2 linked regions of the Diceros bicornis minor genome follow. The protein of the gene in region 1 interacts with the protein of each later gene in a biochemical or structural test. Links are inferred from orthologs where the notes say so. Each region holds a gene or a part of one and is shown in the gene's direction. Other genes may lie near its edges.

The links.
Region 2: the proteins of SH2D1B (region 1) and SLAMF1 interact in a test that uses a peptide from one of them, tested with the Homo sapiens proteins (2 studies listed by BioGRID). The link is inferred for Diceros bicornis minor from reciprocal best matches to the Homo sapiens genes SH2D1B and SLAMF1.

What each region holds. Positions count from the first base shown.
Region 1 is NC_080743.1:69,028,287-69,038,027, reverse strand, and holds the start of SH2D1B (SH2 domain-containing protein 1B), read left to right. Parts: upstream 1-4,966; 5' UTR 4,967-5,044; coding exon 5,045-5,178; intron 5,179-9,741. UniProt on the Homo sapiens protein: Cytoplasmic adapter regulating receptors of the signaling lymphocytic activation molecule (SLAM) family such as CD84, SLAMF1, LY9 and CD244. In SLAM signaling seems to cooperate with SH2D1A/SAP.
Region 2 is NC_080743.1:65,245,543-65,255,610, reverse strand, and holds the start of SLAMF1 (signaling lymphocytic activation molecule), read left to right. Parts: upstream 1-5,427; 5' UTR 5,428-5,480; coding exon 5,481-5,556; intron 5,557-10,068.

The sequences.
Region 1 (9,741 bases):
CCCACATACAGCAACTAGAAGGATGTGTCACTATGACGTACAACTATCTACTGGGGGGCTTTGGGGTAAAAAAAAAAGGAGGAGGATTAGGCAATAGATGTTAGTTCAGAGCCGGTCTTCCTCAGCAAAAAGAGGAGGATTAGCACGGATGTTAGCTCAGGGCTGATCTTTCTCACAAAAAAAAAAAAATTATTTGAGGAATGAGGAGAGGAAAAATGAGAGATAATCTATGGTAGAGGGACTTTAGGAAAGCTGATAGTCAAGGTATGGGAAAATCTAAAAGTAGTGGGATTTCAACATTGTTGTGGAAACTGCTGCACACTATTAATAGCTAAGTAATTACATTTAAAAAAAACCACTATCAATGAAGATAGTACTGGAACTAATAAAAAAAAATCAATGCCATATGTCAGTGTATCCATTAAGATTCTTTGTGCTAATCAACCCTAATCAAATAGCTTAACCAGGCAGGAAATTTATTCTCCCGCTCCACTGGAAGTCCACAGGAGGGATGGGCTCCTAGGGCAGTTGGTAAAGCAGCTCAATGCCATTGACAAGGACCCAGATTCTTTCTCTCTTTCCCCACTTTGCCCTTCTCAGCAGGCAGCCTAGCTCTTTTGATCCCACAATGATTGCCGAAGGTCCAGGCATCCCATCCAGATGCAACACCACCCCAACAAGGGAAGGGACAGTTTCTTTCTTTCTCATGATTGAATAATATTCCACTGTATATATATACCACATCTTCTTTACCCATTCATCTGTTGATGGATAGTTAGGTTGTTTCCATGTCTTGGCTATTGTAAATAATGCTCCAACGAACATGAGGGTGCATATATCTCTTCATCATAGTAATTTCATTTCCTTCCGATATATACTGAGAAGGGGAATTGCTGGATCATATGGTAGTTCTGTTTTTAATTTCTAAAGAACCTCCATACTGTTTTCCATAGTGGCTGCACCAATTTATAATCCCACCAACAGTGCACAAGGGTTCCCTTTTCTCCACATCCTTGCCAGAATTTGCTATCTTTTGTCTTTTTGATGATAGCCATTCCAACCAGTGTGAGGTGATATCTCATTTGGTTTTGAGTTGCATTTCCCTAGTGATTAGTGATGTTGAGCATCTTTTCATGTACCTCTTGGCCATTTGTATATCTTCTTCACAAAAATGTGTATTCAAGTCCTTTGTCCATTTTTAAATTGGATTATTTGCTTTTTTGCTATTGAGTTGTATGAATTCTTTATAATTTGGATATTAATCTCTTATCAGATCTATGATTTGCAAATATTTTCTCCCATTCAGTAGGTTGCCTTAGTAGGACTTTCTCTTGACTCTGCTTCTCTCCATGAGTCTACTTTATTCTTCATTGTGTGGACCAGTTTTCTCTCTTATTCTGGCCGCTGGGTGGGATATGGCCACCAGTTCACAGCACAACAATGTACCTGTTATACAGCTATTCCTAGAAAACTCATTTCCATTCTTATTTCCTCCCTCCCTCCAATCCCCTGCACCTCTCTCTTTCTTCCTTTTTTCATTCCCTCCAAATTCCTTAGTAAGTGTGTCTGATTAGCCCATCTTGGGTCAGGGGCCTACCCTTGGTCCAATCAACCATGGCTAGAGGGATAGGGTCATGTTCTACAAACACGGCACTAGGCTTTGATTTCTATGGATGAGAGAAAGGGGATCCATGTGAGAAATTAAAGATGTTAATATGTACTGTGCAACTATTCTCAAAGGTGATATGGGATCAGAATAACATGAGAATGGAAGGGTTTTTTAGTGTGAAAAATGTTCAATACATACAAAAATAGAGACATTAATATAAAGACCCTCATACACCATCACCCAGCTATGGCTATTTACTCACAGAAGCACAATGCCATTACTACACCTAACAAAATCAACAATAATTCCTTGGTATCATCTACTATCTAGTCAATATTTAAATTTCCTCAATGGCAGGAAATTTTTTTGTAGCTGATTTTTTCAAACCAGAATCCATACAAGATCCTCATGTTGCATTTGTTTTATGCCTCATAAATCTCTTTTAACCTAGAGCAGTCCTCACCCTACTATATGACTCAGTTTTTATGACATTGACATATGAGGAAACCACATTTGTTGTCCTAGTCAATGTCCCACATAGGATTTGTTTGTCCGCTTCCTCATGAGGGTCCCATGAATAGAAGTTAGTTATAAGGGCTTGATTCATTTCAAGTTCAACTTTTTTTTTTTGGTGAGGAAGACTCACTCTGAGCTAGCATCTGTTGCCAATCTTCCTCTTTTTTTGCTTGAGGAAGATCCACCCTGACCTAACATCTGTGCCAATATTCCTCTATCTTGTATGTGGGTCGCCGCCACAGCATGGCTGACAAGTGGTGTAGGTCTGCTCCTGGAATCCGAACGCGTGAACCTGGGCCACCAAAGTGGAGCACACTGGACTGAACCACTAAGCCAAGGGGCTGGCCCCAAGTTCAACTTTTTTTGAAAGTACACTCCACAGTGGTGCTGTGTGTTTCCTGCTGCATCAAATTAGTAGGCATTCAATATCTGGTTGTCCCACTCTTAGATGTGCTAAGATTGGTCAGTGGGTTTAGGTGGTGACAGCATGATCTCTCCCTTGTAAAGACCATTATCAAACATTTCCCTAAAGTTTTCACCCACTGACTATCTTTGCCTGAATTATTTAGTACAAAATAGAATTGAGATGGTTCTATCAGAGGGTAAATGCCTATACAAATTTGCTAGATATCGCCAAACTCTCCTCCATTGTAGTTGTAACCATTTCATATTCCAGCCAACAATGTATGAGATTTTATTCTATTTCACCCCAGCATGACCAACCCAGTATGTTTTCAAACTTTTGATTTGCACCAATATGATAGGTGGGAGATGTTATCTCAGTATGTATTTAATTTGCGTTGTTCTTATGTTGAGCAAGGATGAGGGCATTGGGTTTTGACACAGGAAAAAAAGGCATTAAAGACCCTGTGATGCTAAAGATCTTGAACATGCATCCAATTATTTCCTCCCTTATTTTAAAAAAAATATCCTTGCATCAAGCTTGGTAGCCAATTTCCTCTTTCATCAGTAAAAATTCTCTCCTGAACTGCCATAATTCCCAGGAAGTTAAATGGTGAATTGCCCAAGGCCACACAAGAGAAATCAGGATTTGAAAGCACATTTCTCTGATGACAAGTTCCTTGATTAGTGTCACTCCATTACACCACATTACACCAACCCTGGAGCAGTGGAACTTCCAAGGAGGAACGAAAATCTCCTACTAAGAAGTTCAATGCAAGACAGATCCCCAAGAGTGGGTGGGCAGCTCGTAAACAAAGCAGCAAGATGAAATAATCATCTGGGTTAAGAAAGCATTAAGAGAAGTAAGGATGATTCATGAGCACATGGTTCTATCTTTATAGATATATATTTGAGATATGTAGCAATTCCTATAGATATTTGGATAAGGCAGTTGAATAGGGAGAAATTCACATGCAGTTTATAACAACTGACATTGCGTGATGTTAATTGTGAGAGTTAGTAAATGTAATCCATTTTAAAACATTGGATGCTAGATATGCTTGCATGACTTCTTCTATCTGAAATTAATTAATTAAAAATTAATTAATTGATAATGTGTAGGATGGTTTTGTTGCTTAAAAAGGCCTTGGAGGAAATAGTGAGACGTTGGTCAAAGGGCGCAAACTTCTAGTTAGTAGATGAATAAGTTCTGGGTATCTAATGTACAGCATACTGATGATAGTTAATAATACTGTCTTATATACTTGAAAGTTTCTAAGAGAGTAGATCTTAAATGTTCTCACCACAAAAAAGAAATGGTATTTATGGGACAAGGTGGAGATGGTAGCTACTGCTATGGTGATAATCATTTTATAACGTATAAGTGTATCACATCAACACGCTGTACACCTTAAACTTACACAGTGTTATATGTGAATTTCAATAAAGTTGGGGAAAAACAGGCCTTGGAAATTACTCTTAGGGTTAACTCTGACCCTCGGATAACAGAAACCACCTTTCCCAAGAATGTCAGTTGATCAAAGTGGAAAAGGCTCAGCAGGAAAACAAAGGAATTTTCTCATCAACATCAGATTGTCTAAAGGGGGCCAAGTATCTCTGACTAGATAGACTTTTCTTGGTCTCTCTTCATGGGGACACATCACTGCTGTCCTCCAGGACGGGAACTTCAAAGGACCTGAAGGTCTTCAAACCCAAGCCTAATATCCTCTTTTCTTCCACCCAGAGAAGCATCCTTGCACTAACTTTGTATACCCAGATAATCCCTCCCACCTGCACCAGCTCCTTCCCCAAAAGGCACAGTGCCAGAGAATGTTAAAAATGGCCTTTGTTTACCAGTGGCTAGCAGCTTTAGCCAGGGAATGGGCTGTTCTCTGCTATGGTGTCCAATTGCTTTCTGTTTCCATTGACATCTGCCATTTTTCACGTCATTTGACCCATGGAAATCTTACCTTTTCAATTGTCCCATCGTGTCTAGACATATCTGGATTCATTCAGCATCCAAACACTTTTGAGCACCTGTTCTGAGCTAAGCATAGCATAATCACAGGCAGCTTCAGCAGAAAATGGGCACCTATTATAGCAGAAACAGTGGTGTGCTCTCTGGAAGGGACACCAGTAGCCAGAGAGAAGGGGAAAACTGGTGATTTAGGGTGATATACAAGGCTCCAACCCAGTGCCGGGGAGCTTGACTTCAGCATTGCAGCCCCATCCCCGTACATCACTGATTCTGTTGTGTAATCAAACATGCTCTCAGCCACTTCTGTGAGTCACACTTGGGCCACTTATAGGCTGAAAAGTCTTGGTCACTTTATCACCCCCACCCTTCTCATTTCCTGAATCTTGCGAAATTGGTGGAGTCCCACAGAACAACTTCATCTCATTGCTACCAATCAGAGGAGAAAGAGGTACCACAGCGGGCCCCATTAGGCCAGCTGCCTCCACTTCCCTTCTCAAGGCCGTCGCCCACTGGATTTCAGGGATACGAGAGGGCTCTCCATGGATCTGCCTTATTACCACGGGCCTCTGTCCAAGAGAGACTGTGAGACCTTGCTGCTCAAGGAAGGGGTGGATGGCAACTTTCTGTTAAGAGACAGTGAGTCTCTTCCAGGAGTCCTGTGCCTCTGTGTCTCGTGAGTAGCCTCATCTTCCATGCATTTGAAACTTTGTATTGAATGTAGTAATGATAACCAAAGTCCTAATGAGCAGGGTGAGAAATAGCTGGACACTGCAAGGAGAGGTTGGAAGGAATGTGTCTGTCTAAGCTTCTCCAGCTGCGCTTCTCTCCCTGGTACAAATGCCACAGGAGCAGACTCTCTGGAATAGCCAAAGTGGGGGGCAGTGGTGGTGAAGGGAAGGGCTGCAGGAAGCATGGGCGGTGAGGGGAAATGCAGAGAAGGTAGCCATGTGAGAAAGGTCCTTTCCAGTAGAAGTCACTTTATTTGGAAATATAACCGTATGGAAAAGGCTAGGGACCTTTTATGAAATTTCAGCTTGAGAGAACACGTTTTTACATGTATTCTGCTGGCTCCACTTGCAATACTTAAAATACTTATTATATTTCAAATTTTGTTAGATTTGTAAAGGGCTTCACACACATCATTTCCTTTCATCCTTCTTGTCATCTGTCAAGGCAAGCATAAGCAGTCCCCATTTTCTAGATGAGAAACAGAGACCTGGAGTTCTCAAATGACTTGCTTGTGTTAAAATTCATCTGGCATTTCCAAAGGTCTGAGTTCAGTATGAAATTCCAGGCCAGAGTATCAGAGCTACCATGTTTAGCCCAGTTTAGAAAGCAATTCAGAACACATATCAGCGGGAATCCACTATCTTTAAGTATCCTCCTCTTTACAGAGAACACTGAACTTTTTCTTCTACCTGTTATAGGAATTAAAACTCAAATTTCTCTATGGATGCACTTCAGTGCTTCTTAGAATTAGGGAGCTATGAGTACAAATTCAAAGAATGATGACATACCATTTTTGCCTATTCAATGGGCAAGAATTAAAACTATGAAAATACTCAGAGGTAATTAGAGTGCTGGGAAGCAGACAGCCTTGCACACGCTAATGCAGCCTCTTTGGATGGTAATGTGGCCAAAACATAATATACATGGATATAACCCTTGACCTCAAATTTCACTAATAAAAATCTATCTTATAGTTATGACTCCACAGTATGTGCAAATTGGCATTAACAAGATTGGGCAAATCTATGTATGGTGTGAAAAACCTCTAAGATCTATTGTTGTGTAAAAAAGGCAAGATGCAAAGTTTGATTCCATTTGTGTAAAAAAAAAAAGATACCTATATCCTTGTATATTCATATAAAATTTCTAGAAGGTATACAAGAAACTTATAATAGTGGTTACAGCTGGGAATTTAGATGGAGTGAGTTAGGAAAAGGGTTGTGGATTCATTCTTTTCATTTGATAACTTTTTTTTACTGTTTAAATGTTTTATTTGTGTGCGTATTATTTTTGTAATTTAAAAAATGTCTATAAAAATGTAGTGAATACCTACTATCTATTCAAACACTGTGCTAAGGCCTGGGAAGATTCTAAGGTGATTTCAAGCCTTCTAAGAAGGCTTAGAGGAGGTGGTATTTGAGCTGGGACTTAAAGAGTGGGTAAGATTTGGTTACATGGAAATGGGATGGAAGGCGTTTTAGGGAAGGGTGGAGGTAGGAAAAGAGGTCTAGAATAGAATATTTTAAAGCACACATGAATCACGTAGGGTGCTGGAAAGGTAGTTTGGAAACCAACTTTCAGAAAAGTAGGTGTAGCATAGTATTATGGGGTCTTTAAAAAAATGATTCTGTAGCTAATGGGGGAACATGGATGGTTTCTGAGCAGAGAAGTGACAAGACTGGTGCTGAGTTTAGGAACTCCAATCTGATATGGAGAATGTACCGAAGCTGACAGATGATGGCCATAGAGACTGTTGTGTCTCTGGATGGGAGATGGGGAGGAACTAGCTATGGTGGGGCAAGCAGTGGGAAGAGAAAAAAGAAGAAGTTGCAAGGGTGTGACCTTGACCAAGATCTCAGGGTAAGTAGTCTATTTTGGGATTCTCTTTAAAAATTGACATTTATTCTCAACTGTTCTGTGGTGTATCAATCTAGCTTATATATTCATCTAAAGAGAAAGTCACTAAGAAATGTAAAAAATAATAATAATAAATCAAATGGAGAGGCAAGAACCAATATTTGTTGGGCACCTGCACATGATCAAGCCTCACCCTACTCCTTGCCCATGTCACTGAAAGGCAGACAAAATTTCAGGAACCCTCAGGCTTAAGGCTCAGGCCAAATAGCCCACATCAAAATGGCTCTCATCATAGTCCTTGTGAAATTTTGTTATCACACAGATCAGTACAGACCATTCAATTCTAGTTGCTCAACAATTATTTAAAGTCTCTCTGGGCCGGCCTCGTGGCTTAGCGGTTGAGTGCTTGCACTCCGCTGCTGGCTGCCGGGGTTCGGGTACCGGTCGTGCACCGACGCACCGCTTGTCCGGCCATGCTGAGGCCGCGTCCCACATACAGCAACTAGAAGGATGTGCAACTATGACATACAACTATCTACTGGGGCTTTGGGGGAAAAAAATAAATAAATAAAATTATAAAGTCTCTCATATGCCAGGCACTATGCTAGACCCTCAGTTGGTGCCTTCAACACCGCTCAGAGCCTGGAGGAAGCAATAGGGAGGTAAATGGACACTGTGAGGTGTGGGATAACTGTAATGACCACTCTCAGCAGGGCAACTTCTAGTTTTCACAGACTGAAATACAAAAACTATAGGAAAGGTTAGAAATAAAGGAAGGAAGTCACAGAGACAGTTGGCCCAGCAGGATATAGCATTGACCAGAAAGCTATGTGGTAACAGTGGACAGGAAATCTTACCTGATCTCAGTATGATATAGCTTCCAGAAAACACCAACGTGCAAAATGTTGTCTGTGTAGTGTGACTTTGTGGGTGTCAGAAGTTGAAGCTAGGTCTGCCTTTAGAATCAGTACAGTCAAAATGAAGTGGATATTAGGAGATGGAAGGGACTCATCTGCAGCGTGAAGGTGAGGAGAGACTTTCTGTAGCCGCAGGAAGGCTGCAGGTGAGAAGAACCTGAACCTTGACTTACTGCACGAACTCACTGAGGAGGAAACAGCAATAGAAAGAATGAGTAGAAGAGACCTCAAGAGTCATCTCCAGCTCTCAGATTTTGAGCTCTTTGGAAAGACTCTAGAGTTCAGAAAGAAAAAATAATTCAAAATTTTTGTTGTTTTAGAAAATCAAATGCAGAGAAAGAATAAAAAGGAAAGCAGAAATTATCTCAATCTCACCACTCAGAAATCACGCTTTCTGATATTTCAGCACCCATCTCTCCAGACTTCTCTCTATGCATATGCACGTATAAGCAAATATATATGTGCATAAATGGTTCATGTTACATGATGGCCTGTTTCTTTCAATGTATTGTAGGTATCTTTCCACGTCAGAGAAAGCCAATACACATCATCCTTTCACGACCGCTTAGTATTTTATTGATTGGATATATCATAATTTAGACATAAGCACACAATTAGGTTATTTCCAATTTGGTCCAATGGATCCAATGTAATTTGAGACTATTAACATTTTTGTACTTACATCTTTGAAAGCTTGCCCAACTCTCTCCTTAGGATAAAATCCTAGATGTTTTAACATTTCTACACACATTGACAAATGAGTACAACAAAAGGTTGTACCAATGCACATTCCAATCAAGATCAGTGAGAAGGCCAGAAGTCAAAAGTCTTAAAACATTCTTTATTGCCTTGGGTTCCCCATTGTGTCATGGCATGGAAAAATGTAGAATACGTAGTTGACATCATAGGCCACAGTCAATTCCATTTCCTTCAGCCGATCCTTTGAAGTTTGGTTAAAATAAAACTAAAAACTCGAACATGAACAAGTTTCCCCACAACACTGGTTGTCTTGTATATACCCCACCACACTGACCTGTATTCTAACCTTTTCAACTCTCAACTGAAAATGTAATGCCAAAGATTTAAAAATGGTCTTTATAAGCCCTGTGTATCTCACATCTTAAATGGGGTTGAAGATTTCCGCAGGATAACCCAAAAGGTAGACATTTAAATACACCAAGTATTATAAACCTTAGAAATGATTGAGTGACTATCTGGATCTCATTCCTCAGTGTCATGGCCAGAGACATCTTCTACTGTGCCTCACACTGGGGGTCAAACCACCACATATTTACTGAAGACATAACAACAAATGCGGGAAATATTTTTTCTATCTAATGCCAAAAACCAACCACGAACATGGCAAGAGCCAAATACGTAAAATGAATGTAAATTTGGTTTGTATATTAGAGCAAAAACAAATTCCATTCATATACCTATTTATGTCATGCATTATGTTTACAGCTTTACTGAGGTATCATTGACACAAAGTAAAAAGTGGACAATTTGATGAATTTTGACATTTGTATACACCCATGAAACCATCACCACAGACAAAATAACAAAGACATCCATGACCTCCAAAACTTCCCTTATGCCCTTTTTAATCTCTCCTTACCACACCTCCCATCCACCCCCAGACCCCAGGCCACCATCACCTGCTTTCTGGCACTATAGATTAATATATATTTTCCAGAATTTAATATAAATCAAATCATAAAGTGGTAGTCCTT
Region 2 (10,068 bases), about 3.8 Mb from region 1:
TAAAGTGTCAGGAGAGAGAGTAGCAAGTCTTAGGGGGATGTTACACCCCCCTGTTTAGCCTCATTGTGCAACCCACCTAAGATTGCTTGGGGACAGCTGTTTTCCACATACATATGGTCCTCCTCACTCTCAGGGTGGGGATCCACATAGGTAAGAGGAAGGAAGTGGTGTTTTGTCACAGGTGATAGAGGGGAGGGGCAGAAAACAGTGCTAACCCAGGATTCTTCTGTTGCTCATGTCTTCATCTGTGCCAGAGGGAATGTCCCACAGATAATGGGCTATTGGCCACCATAAGCCTGAAGACTGGCTAAGTTTCTTGCCCAGTGTAATGCAAGTGGTGAGTAGATAGAGCACAGACTCCAGAGTTAGATATTGCAGAATTTGAATCCAATGTTCTCACATTTTGGCTCTGAGCCGTTAGACAAGTTATTTAGCAGCTCTGTTCCTCAATTTGTAAAATTGTGATAATTCTGCCTGCTTTTTACTATTATGAAGATTAATGGAATAATGTCCTTGGAAGCCCCAGACATTTAGGGAATTCAGTTAGTGGGATTTCCTCCTTCTTACCCTCTTGAGTGTTCATGGGGATAATGAGTACACTCCAGGGAGAAAGAGGTCTTGACCCAGAGTCAGGTTCCCAAGTTTGGTCTGGGCCCGGCCTTACACCACCACCAGCTCTGCCTCCTTCATAGGGCTGTTGTAAATGTCAAATAAGGCAGCGAAAGTGAAGACTTTTGACAATGGCTTTGTAACTACAAGGCATCATCTTTTGTTGTTGGTCTGTCAAAGTCTGTTCTCTACAGATTCATAGGTGATGGAAGCAGCTTCGTGTACCAAGTTTAATAACTGTAAACCTCTGGTTAGTTACGTTGCCCTTCAGGTCCTGTATTAGGCTTCCTTAACAAAGCCAGGTCCTATTGCTTCCTTAACAAATTACCACAAACTTGATGGCTTAACTGTAGGTTTTTGTAGACATTCTTTATCAAGTTGAGGAAGTTCTCTCCTATTCCTAGTTGACTGGGAGTTTTTATCATGAATGGGTGTTTAATTTTGACAAATGCTTTTTCTGCATCTATTGATATGATCACGTTATCCTTCTTCCTTAGCCAGTTGATATGATGGGTTAATTTATTTTAGTCTTCATACCCGGGATAAATCCCACTTGGTCATAGTGTATAATTATTTTTATACATTGTTGGATTCAAATGAGGATTTTTGTAACTATGTTCATGAGAGATATTGGTCTGTGATTTTCTTTTCTTGTAATGTCTTTGTCTGGTTTCGATATTAGAGTGAGTTAGAATATAGAATAGAATGAGTTAGGAAGAATTCTCTCCACTTCTATCTTTTGAAAGAGATTGTGGAGAATTACTATAATTTCTTCCTTAAATGTTTAGTAGAATTCACCAGTAAGCCCATCTGGAACTGGTGCTTTCTGTTTTGGAAATTTCTTAATTATTGATTCAATTTCTTTAATAAACGTAGGCCTATTCACATTGTCTATAACATCTTGTGTGAGTTTTGGCAGATTGTATCTTTCAAGGAATTGGTCCATTTCATCTAGGTTATCAAATTTGTAGGCATAGAGTTGTTCAAAGTATTCCTTTATTATACTTTTAATGTCGATGGGGTTGGTAGTGATGGTCCTCTTTCATTTCTGATATCAGTAACTTGTGTCCTTTGTCTTTTTTTCTTATCTGGCCTGGCTAGAAGTTTATCAATTTTGCTGATCTTTTCAAAGAACTAGCTTTTGGTTTTGTTGATTTTTTCTATTGATTTCTTGTTTTCAATTTCACTGCTTTCTGGGCTAATGTTTATTATTTCTCTTTTTCTGCTTATTTCAAATTTAATTTTCTCTTCTTTTTCTAGTTTACTAAAATGGAAGCTTAGATTATTGATTTTATGTCTTTATTCTTTTCTAATATATGCATTCAATGCTATAAATTTCCCTCTAAGGCTTATTTTTGCTGCATCTTGCAAATTTTGATACATTGTGTTTTCATTTTCATTTTGTTTAAAATTTCTCTTAAGATTTCTTTTTTGACCTATGTGTTATTTAGAAGTGTGTTGTTTAATCTCCACATATTTTGGGGTTTTCCAGTTATTTTTCTATTATTGATTTTTAGTTTAATTCTATTGTGGTCTGGGATCAGATATTGTACAATTTCTATCCTTTTAAATTTGTTAAGGCGTGTTGTATGGCCCAGAAGGTGGACTATCTTGGTGAATTTTCCATGTGAGCTTGAGAAGAATGTGTATTCTGCTGTTGTTAGATGAAGTCATCTATAGATGTCCATTATATCCAGTTGATTGGTGGTGCTGTTGAGTTCAATGATGTCCTAACTGATTGTCTGCCTGTTGGGTATGTTTATGCCTAAGAAGGGTATTGAAGTCTCCAACAATAATAGTGGATTAATCTATTTCTACTTGCAGTTCTATCAGTTTTTCCTTATGTATTTGAAGCTGTGTTGTGAGGCACGTACATGTTAAGGATTGTTATGTCTTCTAGGAGAATTTACCCCTTTGTCATTAGGTAACATCTCTCTTTATCTCTGATGAATTTTGTTGCTTTGATTTCTGTTCTGTCTGGAATTAATATAGCTACTTCCACTTTCTTTTGATTAGTGTTAGCACATTTTCTCTTTCTCCATCCATTTACTTTTAATCTATATATGCCTTTATATTTAAAGTCGGTTTCTTGTAGACAACACATAGTTGGGTCTTGTTTTTTTGATCTATTCTGACAATCTCTGTCTTTTAAGTCGTTCATTTAGACCATTGACGCTCAAAGTGATTATTGATATCTATCATATTTGTTATTATTTTCTATTTGTTGCCTTTGTTGGATTAATATCTATCATATTTGTTACTATTTTCTATTTGCTGCTCTTGTTCTTTGTTGCTATTATTACCTTCCATTCTTTTTCTGCCTTTTGTGGTTTTAATTGAACATTTTGTATGATTCCATTTTCTCTCCTTTCTTAATATATCAGTTATAAGTTTTTTTTTCTTCTTTTAGTGGTTGCCCTAGATTTTGCAATATACATTTGCAACTAATCCAAACACACTTTCCATAACACTACACTACTTAATGGGTAGTGTAAGTACTTTATAATAACAAAATAATCCTAATTCCTCCCTCCTATCCTTGTATCATTGCTGTCATTCACTTCACTTATAGATAAGCATACATAAGCATATATATGTACATAAGATATATACATAAGCATACATAATTGAATACAACGTTGCTATTATTATTTTGAACAATGTGTTATCTGTTAGATCAAAATTAAGAGTAAGAAAAATAAAGATTTTTATTTTACCATCACTTATTCCTTCTCTGATGCTCCTCCTTTATTTATGTAGATCTCAGTTTCTGACCTATATTTTCCTTCTTTCTAGCGAACGTCTTTTAACATTTCTAGCAAAGCAAAACTACTGACAACAAATCCCCTCAATTTTTGTTCATCTGAGAAAGTCTTTATTTCTTCTTCATTTTTGAAGACTAATTTTACAGGAAACCTAATTCTAGGTCAGTGGGATTTTTTCCTTCAACACTTTAAATATTTCACACCGTTCTCTTCTTGCTTGCAGTCAATTTTTTTAAGTTAAAGAATTGTGAAACATCAAAGACATATATTGTAATCTCACTTGCTTGTCAGTGACACTAGTGACTTTTTGCTGAATAAGATGATAGTTTTTAGTACTGGAAAAATATTTCCTCAAATTTTTTATGCTCCTTACAACTTAAAGGCTACAGTCATGACATATTTTTAAGTTTAATGTGCGTCATTAATGTTTCTCCACCACTTTCTTACATCTAGATAATCGACAAAACAATATATCAAAGCTCTGATTTATATCAATTGCCAATTTTCATGGTATATATTCTCCCACCCTGGCTGATTTCAAGCTACCAACATGACGTCACTGAATGCAGAGCTGGGAAGAGAAGTGCAGCAGCACATGATCTGGTATTTTATTTCCACCACAGAGATGTAATTGATGTAAATGTCCTCAAGAGCGTAGATAATAGTAAAATGTCATACAATAATTAGGAAGTAACAAGCTTTCAGTTTTCATTCCTTTTTTAAATATAATTTGTTAATTGTACATTTCTATAATTCAAATTTTAATAATGGTAATGTTTACCAACCAACCAGCTCACAAGAGTCCTGAAAATTTCACAACTGGCTCTCACGAGTTGAGAGGCTCCAGCACACCACTGGGCAGTGTTGTGGGGAGGATGGATGAGTGTCAGGTGAGGTAGGGGGGAAAACAGTGAGCATAAAGAGCAAATTCACATATACCACCAACTCTTATTACCCTGATCCCCTCAGGAAGGCCCATTGGAGAGTGCCTTTGACCTGTTAAAATGGACTTCAAAAACATTAGCCTAGCCTTTCAAAGTCTCCTTGTGAGCATCAGTAATGGCAACTTTCCAGTGTTTTATTTTTATAACTTAACTCATGGAAAAGCATAGGGTCTTTTTTCTGTCAATTCTAGTCCCTTATCCTCAACAAAAAGTTGAGCCAGCCCTGATGGCCTAGTGGTGAAAGTTCGGCACACTCTGCTTCGGCAGCCCAGGTTCAGTTCCCAGGTGCTGAACCACACCACTCGTCTGTCAGTAGCCATGCTGTGGCGGCAGCTCACATAGAAGAACTAGAAGGACCTACAACTAGAATATACAACTATGTACTAGGGCTTTGGGGAGGTAAAAAATAAAAGAGAGAGGAAGATTGGCAACAGACGTTACCTCGGGGCAAATAAAAAAAAAAAGTTAGACACAAGCTCTAAAATAAAGGTGACCCATCCCAACACAGCACAGGGCTCACTAAATTCTACCACATTGTACCCAGCAGGAAAATTGAGTTTCTGTCAATGATCCGCCCTTGCCCACCCCATCTCTCTGTAACTTTGGCACCAGGACCTGACTGCATATCGAGGTGTCCTCTGAAATTATGGAACAAGTCAAAAGTAAGAAGTCTACCAGCTCCTTAAAGTTCAGTCATCCAAGTTCAGCTTTGAACTAACTGACCCAAATGTGGAGGTGGTCTGGCAAAGCTCCATTTTTCTTTGCATTCAAAGAAGAAAAGTTACCAGAGAAAAACTGCTCAGAGAAGCTCAGCACCCCTTTCCTGGAAACAGCTAAGAAGAGGAAGAGGGGGGAGCAAATTCCTGCCCAAAGTCGGGGTTTGACCGAGGTGACTACACAGCTCCCTTCCCGGCTCTAGTAGTCTCAGCACCTGACTCGGACTTCTCGAGAAGACAAAGTGATTTAAAGCCTGAAAAGAGATGAGCAATCCTCGAGACCATAGGCAGAAAAAGTCCCCATGAGACAGGAAGCCTGCTGGTTCCTGATGCTTAAACTAGACAGTAGAGGCAGCACTGCCTAATACAGAGCTTGCTTCTGCTGTGGCATCTGCGACCAGCTGCCAGGCTCCTCGCCAGTCTCCCTTTCCTCTCCTCACTGGCTGATGGATCCCAAGGGGTCCCTCTTCTTGAACCTCCTGCTGTTTCTCTCCCTGGCTTTTGAGCTGAGCTGCGGATCAGGTGAGTGTTTATCTGCTAGAGGGTTTGAGTCCCGCGATCACCTGCCAGGAATCAGCTAGCCCCATGGGTGGAGAGAAGACGCAGGGGCTAGAGGCTGTGGTTCACTTGCCTCTTCCTTAGGGGCTGGCTCTGAGTTTCACCTGCTTCTTTCAAAGAGGAAGGAACATTGTGAGTTCCTGGGCCCCTGGGTTCCGAGGCTCAGCCCCACGAATCCTAGTTTCCAAGGAAACCAGGAGCTCTAAGCCAAAGGCAACAGTCACATTCAAAACCAGCCTCTCACCATGAAAGGCTCAGGTCAAAGTCCTGATTGAGTGATTGCTTTTGCATAAGTATCATTCTGGCAAGGATCCAGGCTAAGGGACCGAGCTGGAGGGATGCAGCTCTGGGAGAATATTACTCCTACACCCCTGCCCTGGGAGGGAATCCTCACACACAGAATGAGCAGACAAACCAGAAAGATGGTCCAACAACAAGGAAGGGCTGTAGTGAGAAGAGAGGGTAGAAGTGAAAACCCCAGGCGTTTGGTTGAGAACAGACAGTGGCCACAGTGTGGTCATACTGGTGGCTACTTTCCTGGAAGAGAAGGTTCCAAGGCAGCAAGAGGGGGAGAGGCCAGGATTTCTGGAGCCCAAGGCTGATTACAGTAAGGGGGAAATGCAAATTGGGAACCCTCCGTGTCAGGGCTGCTCCAGCGTACACACAGCAGAGCGTTTGGAGCAGGGCTCTTGTCTTTCTGGTTTGTCTTCCTCCAAAGGTAAGCTGGTGTTCTGTGTTTAGTAGTATCAGGGCTACGAGAAAAGGTATTTGGGAAAGAAAAATCCAAGCAAGTGTACTTCGGGCTCACTGTGGAGTGGGATGAGCATCTCCTTTCTGCTTAAATGCCTTGGGACTTTGGTTAGACTGTGGGAGGCAGCCTGGAGCAGAAGCGGCTTTAGGGAGGGGGGGAAATCCTGAGGCTCTGGTTGTTTTGCACTTGGGGTTTTTAAGACCGCAAATCCATTATGGACTTTTCCAGGAAAAGCCCAGAGATATGCTAGGGATGTTGGAGGGGCTGCATGTGGGATCTATCTTTTGCCAGACTCCCAGATGAAGAGGCCCTTCCTTGGCCCCACTTTTCCTCAGAATCAGGCAGACCATGGCTCTTGCTTCACGAGGTCTAGGAGAGGAATAATTGAGCTTAGGGCTTAAAAAGCCAAACTGAACCACTTTAAGCCCTCACAGGGAGAGCCAAGCCTTCCTGGATGAACCCCATCTATGACTCTGCCATTTTTGGAATACTTCTTAGTGACTGTCAGGAGTGATGGGGTGGAACAGTGGGCTGGACTTTTCCATCTCTGTGCTACTTGCCTCCTGGCCAGCCTGGCAGATGGGTCTCTGGTGCTGCTGACAAATCCTCCACTGAAGGCTCTAGAGGTCACTGGTTGGTGAGAAACAGCCCAGCCCCATAGGGCGTGTTTACCCAATCATCAGCAGCTCCCTTCCTTGCATAACATCTTCTCTGAAATATGTACAAAATTTTTACAGTGTTTTTATTTTTAAATATGCACTCTTTTGTGAAACCCCAATAAAACCCAGACGGAAATGCTTTGCAAGTGAGACAGGTCAGCCATGACAGATTTAGCCAACCAAGAAGCCAGATTCTTGTAAAATCGTCTCTACTCAGCTCACCTTCCAATTCCGTCAGAGTTGTAAAAGTCAAAAAGTCCACGCGTCCCTTCCCCTAATAAAGTGAATTTTTCATTTCCCCCAATAGTATTTTTTTAATAGACTTTATTTTTAGAGCAGTTTTGGGTTCACAGCAAAACTGAGTGGAAGGTACAGAGATTTCCCCCTACCCCCACACATGCATAGCCTCACCTATTATCAACATCCCCCGCCAGAGTGGTACATTTGTTACAACTGATGAATCTACCCCAATGGAATTTTTTATGCCTCCATACAGGTTCTCCCCACCTCCTTCACACACATGAGGGGAGAGATGAGGAACAAGTGCGTGGGTTCCAGACTTGGCCCAACCATATGTGTTCACTGGTCCATTCTATCCCGTGCTGTAGATCTAGGCACTTCTATTTCTCAAAAGCTTTAATACTGTGATATAATGCCATCACCTTCACAGTCTCCAGTGCTGGACTGGAAATCAGAACATCAGGGCTATTTTGTTTTATCCATAGATTGACTTTGGATAATCCCATTCAGCAACTATCTATTAAGGACTTATGATGTGGCAGGTACTGTGTGAGGTGTGGGGAAAAGAAAATGAACAACAAACCCTCTGGCCAGCACCCGACACGGTGTCTGGTACATGAGAGCCTCTCCACAAATGCTTGTTGAATGAATAATAATAGTATGTACAGCATGCTTGATATATACCAGGCACTGTTTTAAGTGCTTTACGTGTATTATTCATTTAATTCTCACTCCAACCCCATGAAATATGAGTTATTACTGTTAGCATTACAGTTTTATAAAAGAAGAAAGAGAGGCACAGAATAGTTTAGCAATTTCTCTGTGGTCACACAGCCTGACTCCAGAAGCCTCAGTGAATGAAACTGGATAAGCTTATGTTTAGGGAAGGAAAGAATGCTAAAATTTGTATCCAGGTGCCATGGTAAAAATTAGAATGTGCTATCTATAATTAGAAGCAGATGAATTGATTTTAATTTTATGGAAATGAATTCAAGTATAGGAATTTTCAAAAGGTGAGAGAAGTTGATATAATTATAGAGGCAGTCTCATCTGGAGGTATCTGATCTGGAATTTGGAAAGTGAATAGAAACTTCTTTCATCATGTAAGTTTTCATTTAATTTTTTTGCTATCTAAATAGTTTATTGAAAATATGTTTATATAAACTACGTCTATAAAACTTCAACAATAGGAAAAGGTATTGAATGGAGACAAATCTCCCTTCCATACCCCTCGCTGGAGGCAACTACTGTTACCAGTTTCTCGTGTGTCCTTCCAAATATAAATGTCTGGTAGGTTAGATTTTTATAGGACTTGAAGAATATTCTAGATGAAGGCACAAATACAGAGGTGAAGTGTCGCGAGTATTCAGGGGGAATGGTAAGTGGTCTATTAGACCTGAAACGTAAGGTTCACAGCTAAGGCACTTCCATCTCCTCACCTGGCAAGTGGGGAGAAGGGTCCCCATCATTTCCCTCCATACTCTACCTCTTAGGGATGTTATAAAGGTAAAGCAGAGCACATTCCAACTTTGGAGAGAGGAGAACTTAGACTCCATGTTGTCATTTTTCCACTTCTTCATTCTTTCATCTCATGCAATTTTTTCATTCTCTTGGGCAACAAGGATTTATTGAGTTTCTACTATGTCTCAGGTGGGTGTTGATTACAGCAGTGGGCAAAACAGACACAGTCCCCGAACTCTTGGAAGCTTATAATTGAGGATTATAAGGATGGCAGAAAATGAACCAGAGTTAAAAGCGTGATGAGTGATATAAAGGAGAGATGCAAAGTGCACTAGAAGCACATGGCTGGGAAACCTAATCCACACTAGGAGTCAGAGGCAGAGACCTGAAGGACACAAGGCATTAGCCAGGCACTTAAAGGGCCATAATAGGCTTTCAGGCTGGGGGACGGAAAGTGTAAATACTCTAAGATAGAAAGACCCAGCAGTGTCAAGGAATGGGAATAGGAGGACGGCTGGTGGGACTACCGTTTAAAAAGCAGCCTTATGGGCCGGCCCCGTGGCTTAGCAGTTAAGTGCGCGCGCTCCACTACTGGCGGCCCAGATTTGGATCCCGGGCACATACCAGGGCACCGCTTGTCCAGCCATGCTGAGGCCGCGTCCCACATACAGCAACTAGAAGGATGTGCAACTATGACTTACAACTATCTACCGGGGCTTTGGGGGAAAAAAGGAGGAGAATCGGCAATAGATGTTAGCTCAGAGCCGGTCTTCCTCAGCAAAAAGAGGAGGATTAGCATGGATGTTAGCTCAGGGCTGATCCTCCTCACAAAAAAAATAAATTAATTAAAAAAAAAGCAGACTTAGACAAGTTATCTTTTCTTCCTGGGCCTAGATTTGCTATGAGAACTGTGAAGTCTGTAAGTCCTGCCTCTTCTCTACCTGAAAGAAATGTAGCAGATGCGACAAGCGCATGTGAAAGGATCAGGGCTGGGCAAAAAAAAAACGGGGCTGACGGGAGTGTCATCAGGGAGAATCCCTCTTGTGAAAGGGTTGGCTACATGTTACTGATTTCAAGAAAATATCCATGGGCCCATGTGAATCATTCTACTTTCTAAGTAGAATTACCCCTGAAGGGAAGTGAGTTGGTGTTAACAGCTACAAATTGTTCCTCCAGACTCTTTTAGTAAACAGGGGCTGACTGAATCACATCCCCACTGGAAAACACTCATCAGGTAGTCGGATGTTTCAGGAGCAGGGACTCCACTTGCAGGGTTTTATGAAGCACTTTCAAGTCCCCACTTATTTTTCCACTAGTGCTTAGGTGGCAGTGATTTCAAGTCCCCCCTCCGGACCCAGCCACTCA